2 linked regions of the Drosophila melanogaster genome follow. The protein of the gene in region 1 interacts with the protein of each later gene in a pairwise test. Each region holds a gene or a part of one and is shown on either strand. Other genes may lie near its edges.

What was found. Proteins that work in one complex are often made in the same cells at the same time.
Region 2: the proteins of Rpt6 (region 1) and Arp6 interact in a two-hybrid assay, tested with the Drosophila melanogaster proteins (one large-scale study listed by BioGRID).

The regions. Positions count from the first base shown.
Region 1 is NC_004354.4:21,312,623-21,320,336, reverse strand, and holds Rpt6 (regulatory particle triple-A ATPase 6), read right to left. Parts: upstream 4,286-7,714; 5' UTR 4,160-4,285; coding exon 4,142-4,159; intron 4,079-4,141; coding exon 3,934-4,078; intron 3,789-3,933; coding exon 2,734-3,788; 3' UTR 2,674-2,733; downstream 1-2,673. Other genes in the region: SLIRP1 (SRA stem-loop interacting RNA binding protein 1), read left to right, coding at 1,210-1,482; anox (anorexia), read left to right, coding at 1,542-2,273; CG1801 (uncharacterized protein), read left to right, coding at 5,282-5,499, 5,601-6,186, 6,254-6,397, 6,453-7,209, 7,526-7,714.
Region 2 is NC_004354.4:15,733,973-15,741,842, forward strand, and holds Arp6 (Actin-related protein 6), read right to left. Parts: upstream 3,149-7,870; 5' UTR 3,062-3,148; coding exon 1,865-3,061; 3' UTR 1,802-1,864; downstream 1-1,801. Other genes in the region: MagR (magnetic receptor), read left to right, coding at 397-480, 581-634, 1,127-1,202, 1,272-1,349, 1,417-1,520; CG11679 (uncharacterized protein), read right to left, coding at 3,592-4,854; CG8206 (uncharacterized protein), read left to right, coding at 5,431-6,006.

The DNA.
Region 1 (7,714 bases):
AAAAATCAAATTAATTCTGATAGGATCGGATCAGATCAGGTTAATGAGCCGCAGACTGGGACAGATATATATAGGGAGTTTAGAGAGCCAAATCACTAATTATACGAGAACCGAGTTAGTCTGAGAATTGAGAAATCGTGGCACATCATCCGAAGCATCACAGGATATTCAGGATATTCCGGGCAGCAGCAGAGGAATTAGGCGAGAGACAAAAAGAAACACGTGAAAACGGCTTCCATAGTTAATGTTATTTCCAAAAGCATAAATACACCACTCTAAACTAAACAACAAAAGCTTGCACACGCCCTTACCCCTAACCCCACCCTTATCCACTTGTTCTTTTGATCGTATTGTACATTTATAACAATCAATATTTGTTTATTTATTGCAAGGAAATCGAGAAAGATACGTGTATGCGATGTTGTTAATTTTAAGTAGTTGATAGCAAATTTGTTAAACTGAAGAGTAATGAAATAAATAAGAAAGGGAAAGGGAAGGGAAAATCAGAAAAAGAATTACAAAAATAAAACAAAATCATGCAAAATCAAAAATAAAAAATGTGTTTTCTTTGATCTGCCGTTTGAATTTGGCGCTCCCTTTCCGTTCTACAGAACTTCGTCGCTTAACAGATTGCTAGTAAGAACCTGTTAGTGCGAATATGTGCTGTTAAGCGCACAAATAATGAATGAAAGCAGCTTATGCTTACTAGACATCAGCGATTTGATACTCTATTTGGATGAATATTATGACATTAAGAAAAATGATTAGCACGATAAAGATTTAAATTAAATCGATTCTGAGAGATTAATCTATTGAAACCAATAGTTTTAATTTATAGACATACAAAATAATTATTCTATTTGCATGAACTACTATTTTAGGAGTAATGTAGCTTAGAAGTCATTACATTGGCTTTCAAACCAATTGATTACATTTAACTAATTATCTGTACGCTCCTCTGCAGTATTGATTACATATATGAACAAATGTACTCCGACATGTAGGGTAATAGCACTGCGCTGTTAGCTGCCTCTTTGAGGTTATGTCTCTCTGTCGACAAAAACAGCAAGTTGACGTGAAACAGAAACGCAGCAGTATTTACGCAACGCAACTGGTAAGGAGTCGCCGGGAATCCAGATCGCCTTGGCTGGAAGAAGCAGAAAACCATATTTAATTCGAATTCACACCTCATTTAGCAAAACCGAGTCCATGGCCACCGCCGCAGCTGTAGCAAAAGTCGGAAAATCAGTGCACCGCATTTTCGTGGGCAATCTACCGTGGACAGTGGGCCACCAGGAGTTGCGTGGCTACTTCCGCGAGTTCGGACGCGTGGTGTCCGCCAACGTGATCTTCGACAAGCGAACGGGGTGCTCGAAGGGCTACGGTTTCGTTAGCTTCAACAGTTTGACCGCGCTGGAGAAGATCGAGAACGAGCAGAAGCACATACTGGAGGGCAACTACCTAAACATACAGAAATCTTAGATTCCCCACTTTAATTGTCATTTAGTTTATAAGCTCAGCAGATTTTTTTTTTTTTTGACATGTCGGACAGCGATACGGACACCGTGGACGAGCTTTTCCACCTTGCCACCGAGCATGTGGCCAAGCAGTCAAACAGCATTGGTTCCGCGGACCTTTTAATATTTTACGGATACTACAAGCAGGCCACGAATGGCCCCTGCAAGGAGCAAAGTCCGGGTCTGCTTCAACTGCAGGCCAAGAGCAAGTGGCAGGCTTGGCGCAATCTGGGAACAATGTCCCAGTCCGCTGCCCGGCAGGCCTACGTCCAGAAGCTGCAGGAGCTTCAACCCAACTGGCGGTCCCGGCGCAACCCAGGCTGGGTCGTTCATTCCATTGAGTCGGTCCCACTGGAGGACCAACGTTTGGACAGTGAAAAGACCCTGTTTGACCACGTGAAGGAGAACAATCTAGACAGGCTGAGGGAACTGCTGCAGCCAAGTGACTTGGTTAAGCTGGACGAGCATGGCATGGCGCTCATCCACTGGGCTACCGATCGCAATGCCGTCGAAATCATACAGTTCCTGGTGCGGAGTGGGGCCAGTGTAAATCAGCGAGATGCGGAGCAACAGACTCCGCTGCACTACGCCGCCAGTTGTGGACACTTGGAGGCGCTCCAATGCCTGTTGGAGCTACACGCCAGCCTGGAGCTACGCGATTCAGATGGACAGACTTGTTACGACGTGGCTGACGATGAGCAGATCTGCCAGGTGCTTCAAACGGAACGGGAACGACTCGCTGGATCCGCGTCCTAATGTCAAAATCTTAAGTTGTTCGGTGCTCATTTGCTTTAAAAACAGCAAGGTGTTGTGAACCATTGTAAATCTCCGACAAGTCCCCTGTAAGTTCTTTGGAACTATAATAAACATACATACATAAATGTAATTTTGGAAGTACTTTCCTTTCGGATTTTTAGGAATCATTGAGATCGAAAAAACATAAAAAAGAAAGAGATGGATAACCTCTCTTTTTTTGTTCTGATCAAGCAGCCAGTTGAAAACACTGCAATGTACTTTTTACAAAGCTGCTACTGTAATCTGATAATCTATTCAATTCTTCAGATATCATTGAACGAAAGTTATCTGTGAAGATCATAATTGGGTTGTGCGTACTGACTAAGGAGTAAATCCAATGACACAATAATGCATTTATGTTACTAACTGATGTATTTATTGAAAATAATATAAGGGTTCTTTTGCAATGGCCGATCAACGCCTACTTCCACAGCTTCTTGATAGACATGTTCTTCTCCGAGTCCTTCTGCATCACCTTGGCCACAGCCATCTCGAAGTCCTCCTGGGTGACATGGACGCGTCGTTCGCGCAGCGCATACATGCCGGCCTCCGTGCAGACGCCCTTGACTTCCGCACCTGATGCGCCTGGCATTAGCTCGGCGATCTTGCGCAGATTAATGCCACGCGTGAGGTTCATCTTACGGGAGTGGATCTTCAAGATGTCCAGACGCGCCTCCTCGTTTGGTGGCGGGAACTCGATCTTGCGATCAATACGGCCGGGACGCAGCAGAGCGGGATCCAGGATGTCAATGCGATTGGTGGCCATGATCACCTTGATGTTCTTGGTGGCCTCAAAGCCGTCCAGCTGGTTAAGTAGCTCCAGCATAGTACGCTGCACCTCGGAATCGCCGCCGGAACCTGACTCAATACGCGACGAGCCAATGGAATCGATTTCGTCCATGAAAATAATTGATGGTGCATGTTCCCGGGCCATTACAAAGAGTTCTCGAACCATGCGCGAACCCTCGCCGATGAATTTCTGGACCAGCTCTGAGCCAGAGACGCGAATGAAGGTGCACTCGGTGTGATGGGCAACGGCCCTGGCCAGCAAAGTCTTTCCTGTACCTGGAGGTCCATAAAGGAGCACTCCCTTCGGCTGGGCAATACCCAAGGCATCAAACAGCTCTGGATGCTTTACGGGCAACTCAATCACCTCCTTGATCTCTTTAATCTGTTTGTCCAGGCCGCCAACCATTTCGTATGTGGAGTCAGGAACTTTTTCAACCATCATAAGCGAGACCAGCGGATCCACCTTATTGGGCAGAATCTTGTGCAGCGTATAGCTCTCATTGCGCAGGGCCACGCGGCAATTGGGGGTTACGTCGTTGATATCTATGTTTTTGTCCAGATCGACGACGAACTTGCCCTCGGGATGCACCTTGACCAGCACTTTCTTCTTGTCCATGGGCTTCACAACCTCGCCCACATAGCTACCCTGTTCCTGGAGCAGCTGCAGCTCCTCCCGCAGCATCCGAACTGCAAAAGACGTGCTAATTAGGATTGCTTTCTCAAATTTAAAGATTTTTTGATATTAAGACCAAGAACAAGTCTTATATGTTTTCTATATCCTACAGCTAACCAACTATGCACATTATCTACATATGTGTAACAGTAAATTTACCTTTAGCATTGAGCTCATTGCGCTGGGCCTGCAGTCGTCTCAAATTCTGGTGCTTCTCGGCCACCACCAGCTGCAGTTCCTCGATCTTTTGGATGTAGTAGGACCGGAATCCCTCGCCTTTATGGTAGGCCGACTCGATTTCCATCTGCGAAAACATGGAGCATTGGTTTTTCGCGGTGGAAGAGCTGGGGGAATCAAATGTACATACCCGATTCGTCACCGTCATCTTTCGTTTTCTGTTTACACTTTAATTTGTTATTATTTGTCGAACTGAAGGACCACAATGCAAGATGTCGAATTAATTCCTCTTTATTGTATGACTCTGCATTTGCTTTTCGAGATGACACATGCCGGTTATCGCACTGCATTCGGAATATCGATGCCATCGAGCAATCGGCATCGATAAAAACGCTAGGTGGTAAAAAACCTAGCTAAGGTTTTCGAATTAAATGTGTCCAGTAAACAATTAAAATTAAATATAACAAAACACGACCTTACTCGTAGGATTATACCCGTCGTAGAGTAAATGGAGTGTACTAGATACGTTGAAAAGTATGTAACAGGTAGAAGGAAGCGTGTCCGACCATATAAAGTTTATATATTCTTGATCAGGATCAATAGCCGAGTCGATTTGGCCCTGTTCGTCTGTCCGTCCGCATAAACTTCAAGATCTTAGGAAGTTTAAAAGCTAGAAGGTTGAGATTAAGCATACAGATTCTGGAGACAGCGCTAGTTTGTTGACCCAAACCACCCAAAACTGCCACGCCCACTTTTTTAAAAAATGTCTTAATATTTTATTTTTATATTAGTCTTGTAAATTTCTTTCGACATGCCAAAACCGATACATTTTTTCAATTTATTTACCAATTTCTAGACAGAAAAATGATGATATTTCTCTGAGTAACGGTTATCTGATAGTCGGGGAACTCGACTATAGGTTTCTCTCTGATTCGTGGTAAAATACATTGTGTTCTCTCTTGTTTTTGCGTAGCACCAGCGATTTTTAAGTAATGAACTTGAATTAGCCTAATACCGCTGCTAATGAAAAAAATGTAATGTATTTCTAATTAATTGTGAATACTTAATGTGACAAATTCTAAGCTTGAAGGTGTTCAATATTATCTATGAAAATTTCAAAACATTGGGCATGTAAATGCGTAGTCTGAAATAGTCATCAAAATGTGCTTTGAGAACAAAGTACTGGTATGTTTTAAGGCAAAATAAGAATATTTTCAAAATCCCCTGCCGAAAATCAAACTTCTCACACTCAAACCATCCGTTTTGTGCGGGAGTGCAGACCCGCCAACCAATTTCTGTCGTTTGTTAAATTTATATTTTAAATTGTAAAATGCCGGCCAGCAAGGGTCTTCTTTTCAAGCGCTACATCCGCATCGAGTTAAATCTGTGGCGGCGGACGCTCTTCGAGATCGTCGCCCTAGTGATAATGGTCCTAGTGATCTTTCTCAACCCCATCGCTCACTCCAAAAGGCTTCTATACACGACCACCGAGAACGAAAACGAGCAGAGCATCGTGTCCCACAAACTGCAGGACATAAATATATTGACGTAAGTGCATAGTATTCACCTACAACCTTTTGAATGTAGCGCCATCCAAAGGCGCAACTTAATGCTCCTACCTATTTATATGGTTTTGTTACCTTCCGCAGACGCATGGCAGACTCGAAGCGGGAGAAAACCAAGTACATCCTGGCCTTCACGCCGGAAACGACGTTTACATCGGAGGTGACCAAGAATGTGGCCAAAACGCTGGAACTGAGCTCAACCGTGGGCTACGAGAGCGAGTCCGAAATGCAAAATCAGTTCGATGAGCGGACTACCCTGGCGGGCATTGTTTTCAATGATCTGCGCGATGACGGCACTCCTTTGACTCTGTCCATCTCGATTCGGTTTCCCAGCGAGTTCCGCACGATCGCTCCGTTCCTCACCGAGGATCGCCTGTGGATAACCCGCTGTTCGGGTCGCATTAATCCCGGACGGGATCGGGCCAAGCACGATAAGCAGCAGGATATATATATTCGCGAGGGGTTTCTGCAGCTGCAGCACCAGATCTTTGTGGAATGGTACCACCAATTGCGCAAGGACATAGTTAGCACCTATCCAGAACCCAATGTCGAGGTCTACAACATCCTGCTGAAGGCCGCCGACGAGCCGTGCTCCGTGATGAGTGTCGCCCAGCTGCCCACATTCCTTTATAATTTTATATACCTACTGCCCTTTTTGAATATCATCAGAGTAAGTACACCATCTACACCACCTAACCAACATGAGATATAAGGACGCTTTCTGGCCCAATTCTCAGAACGTCGCTGCCCAGGTGGAGGATGGGGTGATGGTGCATCAGTGGCACTACGGCTACTCCTTTGGCATGCAGTGGGGCATTAAGTTTTTGGTGCTTTTTCTCAGAATGTGCATTTTAGGTGTCATATATACCATCATGTTGTTGGTGAGTTTTTGCCACTTGACCATACCTGCTCAATTTAACAAATAAATATATTTAGGCCTTTTGGGGCTTTGGAGGTCGAGAAGGGGAGTTCTCCGGCACTGGGACGATAGCCTTTGTCTGCTTCATCACACTGTACACCGTGGAGATCATTATCACCGGCATGGTGGTGGCCAAACTGTTTGCCAACCCCACGAATGCGGTCCTTTTCGCCTTAATGCTCTGGCTGTTCATGTACGCGGCATTCTGCATTATCCTGGAACGCTACTGGGACATCCACAAGTACTATGTGTTCTTCATCCTGGTGGCTTTCTGCAACTGCCAGATGCACTTCAGCATGAGCTTGTTCAGAAACTGCATCGAGAAACCGGAAATGGTGAACACCATTGATTTCGTCTTGATCTTCACATCGGCCATAAGTTCGGCCTTGATTTACTTCCTGATTCTCTTGGCGATTCAGTGGCGAATGCCGGGCACCTTCCTCAGTCGGCGGATAGTGAACAATAGGCCGCGGAAGCAGCAGGAATCGGACACCACCATTATGTACTTGGGCAGGGCTCCGAGCTTTCAAAACTTCGAATTCGGCGACGTGGGCAGTGTGGAGCTCATGCGATTGCGTCATGTCAGCACATCACATCGCGATTCGGAGCGAAAGATCCTCAAGAATATATCGATGCGAATCTATCGTGGCGAGGTGTTTGTGATCCTCGGCCACATTGGCTCCGGTAAACTTACGCTTCTGAGGATTTTGGCCGGCCTCAAGTTCCCACTACGTGGCAATGTATATATAATGGGCAATCCCTTTGAACCCAATGGTAAGTTGGTTGTTTTTGTGATTATACCCATTTCTCGTACGGTAAAAGTATATAAATTCTTGATCAGGATCAATAGCCAAGATAATCCGTTTGTCCGTCCGTATAGTTCCCTAACTATAAGAGCTAGAAAAGATTAGATTAAGATGGTATTAAGCATTTAGATTCTCTATTTGAAAAGAGCCGTCCGCTTCTGCATGCAATTTCGTGAGGATATCTTCAACATTCTTACACTTTCCCTTACGTTGAGTAAAGCGTATCCAATAGTCGTGGTATGCTGTAGCCGTTCTCATACTCATACAAATACAAATACAACTAGGTGAAGCCCGTCGCCTGGTGGACTTCCGTTTCGATGAGCATGGGCTCAACAAGCATTTGACCGTAGAACAGACCATTGACTACCATGTGCGTCTAAAACTGTCGCCCAGCGAGTCCGACCGCTACGAGATCGAGAGGCGCAAGTGGTTGGCCATACTGGATCAGCACGTGGAGAGTCGGGGTGTCCGGA
Region 2 (7,870 bases), 5.6 Mb from region 1:
CATTTAAACTTAGAGATGGCACCTCCTTTCATTTCAAAACTAGTCGCGAGTCACGATTTTAAAAAGTTACTATAGCTGTCACTGGTGCTGATAAAATTTGCTGTAACTCACAGACATTAAAACCAATTGTTAATATAAATTCTACTGTGAAATATTAAGTTAAGTTATTAATGAAGTCCACCTGGACTCTGGGGCTTAAAAATAACTTATTTTTCAAACAGGTAGTAACCGTTTCTCCGCTATCCCGTGACACTGCCAATCGATGACATCTGTTAATGCCATCTCACGTGATACTATCGACAGTACTATCGACCATCTGGTAGTAAGCACTCATATTTTCGAATTTTTTTTGTGGAAATTCTCGAGTCAAACAAATTATATAAAGGGCACGAACCGATGGCGACACGTGTGGTGGCAACGGCGACAGTGCGGGCGGTGAAAGGCCGGAAGTTAATCCCGACGCGGGCCGCTCTGACTCTGGTAAGGAAACCAAAACCTGGTGAAATCGGCGCATGCTGCTGCTGATGAAGTAACAGTCCCCTTCGATCTGATGATTCTGATCTCCCCCAATCCTTTTCAGACACCCGCGGCGGTGCTACGCATCAAGACGCTTCTGCAGGACAAGCCGGACATGGTGAGTGACTGCTGACAAGTTGTCATCGAACCAAGGCTACACTTTAGTGGGCATTCTATCGCCTTCCACGATTGAGATCTTGATAATCTCGCCTAGCTCTTTAAAGGTTCCCGTGCATGTTATTTAAGTTTTAGCACTGGTTGCATGGAGTATAGGAAGTTCGCAAGAGGGCTTCTTCAAGCATTATATTTGACAATAGGCTTTTTCCTCAGTCAGTCATATATTTTAGCGCAAATTATTAGCTATAAATATAAGCCATGCTAACTAATTCGGCCTGCGTTAATCAGCTAGATTTTCCAAATTTTGACCCGACCAAATTTTGATGAGCATGTTTATCTTGTTGTTAATCATTTAGTTTTTAAGTGATTAAATTCTTTGAATTGAGACAGACTTATTAGAATACCGAGTTCTTTGTCTTTGGTCAATAAACAAGGCTGCCTATAAATTAGCCACACAGTTAATGACAGAAATTCGATGTTGTTTCTGCCACAGGTTGGCCTAAAGGTGGGCGTACGGCAGCGAGGATGCAATGGTCTGTCCTACACGCTGGACTATGCCAGCCAAAAAGGTAAGCCACTCTGGACAGAATGTTGTTCGGTGGAGATCTAATGCTGCGTTCTGTGTCGATTTTTGCCAGCAGACAAGTTGGATGAGGAGGTGGTCCAGGATGGCGTCAAGGTCTTCATCGACAAGAAAGCGCAGTTGTCGCTGCTGGGTAAGTTCATACCAGCTTAGCATAGCATTGGACAAGCCAGCTAATACAGAGTATAATTCGCTTGCAGGTACCGAGATGGACTTTGTGGAATCGAAGCTGTCCAGCGAGTTCGTGTTTAACAATCCGAACATTAAGGGCACATGCGGCTGCGGCGAATCGTTCAGCATGTAAACCGATGGAGATCCGGAGGAGATCCGCCGGCACCCGCCTCGCAGACAGACCTAAATTAACTAAGTTAAATGCAGTACGCGGCCCGACCTTGTATCTCATTACGTTGTTGGCAAAAGCACCGCATCCTTTGTAAATTTTACTTCGCAAACGAATTCTAAATATTAAGTTGTGTTCTATAGTTAAATTTTAGTTGTAGCGCTAGGTAAGTGACGCACCCGCTTCCTTGCCGCAGGCTGGCAGTTTGTCCTCTTTAGCCCTAGTTCAATATATAGACAAGGAATGTTCTAGAAAACCCATGTGCAAATCAAGTTTATTATTGAAAAAATACTTCGACTACGTGCATGTTACCGCTGATTGATACCCTGGAAACCGTACTCCTCGTAGTCGTCTTGCGTGTAAACAAACTCTTCAAAGTTGGGGCTGGTCGCAACCTCCTTGCCGCCGTACCACGCGTACCGCACCGGATCCTCGGGACAGATGAGTGACACTTCAAGATCGTCGGGCACCAGGGCACGTAAATCGCGCTTTAGGCGCGGCAGAAATCCCGGAAACTGGGCACTGCCGCCCACAATAAGGATGTTGAGCAGGAGTTCGCGGTGCGCTTCCCAGGGGCAAGCCTTCAGACAATCGGCCACCGCTTCCGGAATGCCCACCTGTTGCACACCAATGTCCGAGGGATTGAAGAGCAGCTCGGGCACGGTGAAACGTTCATTGCACAGCGACACCATTTGCTGTTGCTCCTCATCCTCGCGCGGCTTTCCGGGAACACGAACATAGCCCCGTTTGACGGTGGTGAAGTCTGGAAGGACATAATCAACTGTGACTTCGCGTCGCTTCTCCTCCGAATAATGCACCTGCATCGCCTGCTTGAAGTCCTCCGCCACAAAGCAGACATCTTCCTTGATCTGGTTAACTACATGACTCTCGTCCATGACGTTTAGGTGGCGATAAGAGATTAGCTCCTTTAGCTGGTTGGTCAGCGCCTTCCCGCCCATGTCGATGCGTCGTATGCCTTGGAGAACGCGCCGTCCCAGCACAAAAGGAACAACGTGGGTGAAACTGTAGCCTACATCGATGATGATGCAGTTAAGCGATTCCATTGTAGTCCGCTCCTCGCTGTCAGCCACATAGTTAAAGGCAGCCAGATCGGCAGCAGTGGTCTTGTACACCCCATCAACCTTGTACTCCTCAAACAGAATCTCCAGCGTTGCCTCCTGGATGCTCTGGAAGTTCATCTGCGGCTCAGTGATGACAATATTGCGGTTCTCCAGCGAACAACCAATGCCGTCCTTGCTGAATATGTAATCCCACACCGTTTTCTGTGTGTGCCAGTTGAGCAGGTAGCCGCGCTGGAACGCCAGAATGTAATAGAGCGCCGATGTGTCCCGGCATTCATCTATCTGATTTCCCACAAAAGCGCGTCGCCGCTCGCTCTTTGCTTTCATGATGCAGTTGGGCACCACATGGGGCTCATCCTGATTGGCCAGGCCCACTTTCGCCGTATGCGCTCCGTTGTCCAACACCACCACAGCGTTGGCCATCCTTTTCGTCCTCAACGTAGATCTATACCATTTTTCGGAAGAGGACAACAAACAACACTTCTTCTGTTCTAGTGCTGTCGATTAATTTGTTCAATCTATCGAGATTTTTAAAATCGTTATTTTTGGTGTTTTAACGGTCTACATCAAATTAAATAAGGAAAACAAAAACAAAATGAAAACACAAGAAACAACTTTTTGGAATGCTAATAATTCTATATTTCAGCAAAATACAAATACACATACAATAAAATTATAATATTCTCGATGTAGATCTATAGCATTTTTCGACAGAGGAAAAGAAATGACACTTCGTCTGCTTTAGTGCTGTCGATTAATCTAGCCATTTTTTTAAATTGGATCTAGTGAGAATTTTAAAATCGTAATGTTTGGTGTTTTTAACGGGCAACAACAAATTAAAAAGGACAAAAAAAAAATAGAGCACAGATCAAACAAACTTTTGGAACGCTAACAATTCTATATTTCGTCAAAATACAAATATAGTACAAAAAACTATCGACCAAGCCTACTTGCTAATTGGGAATCGAGGCGGCAGGAGCAGCCAGTGGCAGGACCTCTAGCTTATGCGAATCACTGTGATCGCTGACGAAGTGCAGCACTTCGAAGCCCACCTCTACCATGATCAGGATTATGATCATCCACTCGAGCCGGATATGATGGGCATCGTTCAGATTGTGGGACACCAGCTCGGCCAGTTCCACGCAGTGGTTGATCTTCTCGTTCATCACCTTGGTGCGCCGTGAGATGCTGAAGTAGGAGCACACCTGCAGGTAGAGTGCCTCCAGTTCCTCGCGGTCCCAGTAGAAATCGGGTGCATCCAGCAGATCCGACGACAGGTTGATCACATGACGCAGGGCAAATAATTCACCGGTTTTTCGCAGCATGGCCGCCCGCGAGATTCTTAATCGGCGACCACGCTTTAGATCCTCGGTGAGATGCTCTATGGAGTCTATGTAGCGGTCCAGTGTCGCCTCCCACATGCCCAGCTTTATTGACTGTGCCATCGCATTGGAGAAGGTGTACTTATACAGGAAACTATCCGTATCGGCGGTAACAAAGAACTTGCCATTCTGGAAGAATGCCCGTGACGTGACATTGAAGTCGCTGCTCTCCGCCACCAGATCGCCCTCCACATCCACCGCCGTCGATGGAATGTAGGTGTAGGGCATCACCTCGCTCTCCCCGTGAACCAGGGCACTCACATACGATTCCCTTTCGAAGGCGCGCAGGAAACTTAGCACATTGTTCGTCTCGATGTCGCTGCAGTTCCAAAAGACCACCGAGCCCTCGCGGAAGAAGAATATCTCCCGCGGCTGCTGACCCGTCGGATATTTGGCCGCCACAAAGAGCACATTCTGCTCCACGTCCAGATTGTCTGTGGAGAAGAAACGCTTCGTCTCGTACAGGTTCTGTTCGCGGAGGGCTATCTGCAGATCCTCCAGATTGTACTCCTCGGCGGTCGTATAACCACGGGTGTTGAGAAACCCCAAAGCGGACAGTTCATCGATGGCCAAGCGCTTCTTTCGAATGATCCTGGTGCGAATGGGCGATAGTATCGACTCCAAGCGCTCCTCGGCTAGCGGCAATGGCTTTACCCGCGGTTGCGTTTGAGTTCTAGGTACAGAAGCTGCTTGAGCTGGCGCCGCAGCCGATGAGGTGGCTTCACTGGCCAACCATCGGCGGCGGTCCATCATCCACTGCGTCTGCGTCTGCTGGCGCGGAATTCGAAGTCCTCCAAGGACCATCTGCCCGAATCTCAGGCGTGCAAAGTTCATGGCTTTTGATTTATGCTCCAGCAGCAATTAGTGGCCCATTTCTGGGAGTTGAGATCGGTTTGGTAACGAATCGTATCTGGTGGCTATATAATATAGTAGCCGGCCTCCGATTGCCTTTTGTTGTGATTATCGAATCCGATAGGCACTCAGTGGTGAACTCGGTTCTTCGGCCGTTAGTTATTTCTAAGCTATGAATTTTCATTATTGCTTGGTATTTATACTACAAATTTGGTAGTTGAAATTCTGTTATTTGCTTTTTGAAATGCTGTAACGAGTCTTCAACTCATACTACATAAACTTCTGCCAATAGAGACAAATTACTGAACCTGGATACAAAATAGCCAAAATGTGAGAACTGAATTTAAGCGGCCAACCGCCTGCACTGCTCCGATAACGATAGCCATCAGCTGTTTTCATCGCTCCACTTAACCATTTTCTTCCCCATTTGGGGCAAAACAAAACGCAGTAACTACCCCACATTCAGCACGTGCGGCGCCAGAATTCAGGACGCACTGCAGCGGGCGGCAAGAGCAGAAAGCAACGCGGATGTGCAACACCGCTTAGTAGCAACATAAAATGAACGCATTGCGCAACATCTTCACATCGCGAACTCTCAACTATTTGCGCCAGAATGGACAAAACGCGATCCTCAACGCCACCCAGCAGCAACAAGCGGTGGACGCCGTGCCGCTAACCAACGATGCCGAGCAGCACCTAAAATCGTCGCGTCCAGCACCGCTTTCCATACCGCGCTCCATACTCGATGCGTGCCATTTCACGGCCAAGCAGTTTGACCTGGGAGGCTCCACGTCCGGAAACCAGGCGAATGGCTCTCTGTCGCCGACGACACTGAAGCGCTTCCGACGCATGCAACGCCGCATGGAGCTGGTGTACCGCTGCAAGCTGTGCAACACCCGCAACACGAAGACCATCAGCGAAGAGGCCTACTACAGCGGCGTGGTGATCCTACAGTGCGACGGCTGTGCCGTCGACCATCTGATCAAGGACAATCTGGGACTGTTCACCGGCAGCGATGGCGATAGCAGCATTAGCTCTGGAATCAGTACCAGCAAGAATATCGACCAGGTGCTGGCCGACCGGCATGCCCGCGTCCGGGTGATCAAGGTGAACGAGCGCGGCGAGCTGATTTAGGAACTCTAGTCAAAGGGGCATCAGTAGAGGTGAGAACCTGGTGCCGTCAACCTGCGAATCGTGTCTGAGGAGGACACACTCGACACGGGGTGGCACATTGAACCCAAGCAACCAAGCACCCAAGTACCCAACTGCAAACCGGAATCCCACATTCTGTTTCCGAGCTCAGACGGCTGTATATAATAATTGTACTGTAATTGTTGATTGTTTCGGGCCGTGAGTAATGCCTAAAAAAGTGATTAAAGGAACGACCAGTTCAAAAGCAAAAAACAAACATTGTATATGGCTAAATCTGTTATTCCGCTGTAGACTATCTAATCAGGGTGCACAGAAAGAAAAATGTCTCATTGTTGATATAAATGTTAAAATACATATGTATATGTACAATCATCAAGTTTTGGCTACAAGCCATCAATTTTTGTCAATATACGCCGTGCCTATCTTATATTGACCAGGTTTTTTTTTCTGTGTACGCACACGCATATATACTAGACGTGCCCAGTCAAAAGTGGACTCATTTATTTATCTGGAGAGCCCTAGAAGCCGGTAGAAGCCGAAGGGGCTCGGTGGCCGCTCGCTAATTGATCGGATCGATCAAAACACAGCCGGAGTGCTAATTATCGCAACAATAAAAATTGGCACGCTGCCGGCCTGGCTACGCAATGGTGAAATGTGCCGGATTGGTAGGTATAGATACGGCTTTGGGGCTAGACACTAATGCATACCATATATAAATACATATAAGTATGAAAAACACGCCCCTGTCGAGTGATCTTTTCTGCGTCGTAAGGGGCCGCCGAATCCCTAAGAGATATGCCCCCAAATTGGCTAACAACAACGGATTTTGTGCGCTGATGGCATGTGGACGGAAGATAGTAAGCCCACGGAGTCTGTAGTTATTGCCAAGTGGTTCTACCAACTGTTACATCCATCTCTTGACATCTAAATTAATTAACTTCATTTGAAACTTCATTAAGATCTATCCCAATCTGCTGCTCTGCCATAATAAATATTGAAATAGATATATATGTAGATATGGTTTATTATTTTGAAAACACCAAGCAGATTGTTTCAGTGCTGCATATAATTGCATATAATTTCGAATGCCCAACTCAGCATGACACTGCGCTTTTGGTGACGTCAAGACAATTTGTAAACAAACAAGATGATTCCGAGGCATGGCGTCTAGTTCCACCTCCATTGAATCTTTCCAGACGCGCGACAACAAGTGTCAAGAGATACTGATAAAAACGTCATCGCTTATCTTTGGCTGGGAAATTCTTTAAAAAATGTTTTCAAAAATACATATGTTTTCGTGGAAAGTAAGAGTAAGTGCCCGCCCTCGAATGAAACTAGTTTGGCTTGCTTTTTAAATAATTATTTAAACCTATTTATTCGAGAATACTTCGAATACGCGTGTGTATATATTGTATGGTACTAAAATCTCATTCGGTATTACTAAGATAAATAAAATTGTGATTTGCTTCTGCCATCATTTCTCTCAGTTAATTTACATGTTTCGAAGACGTTTCTTACGGTTTAAAATACATATTCATTACGTTGCTAGTTTGTTTAAATATTTCGTTCTTTTTTTCGGATGAGTTTCTCTTTGCTTGTTTTGTAGGTTGTGGTGTTTGTTTTCTTTTCCTTCTGTTTCTCCTGGAAGCGCACTTTTGTTACGATTCTTGTGATTATTAATCTCCCTCTGGCTCTAAATTGTTTTGTATTTTTGTCACCTCGCATTTCGCTTCTGTTAACTATTTCACAATTTGTTTGAATGCTCGCCCTCCAAATCCCGAATCCCAAATCCAATGGAAGCGCCAACGTACCTTGGATAGGCGTTGTCTTGGATTTTGGCTAATTT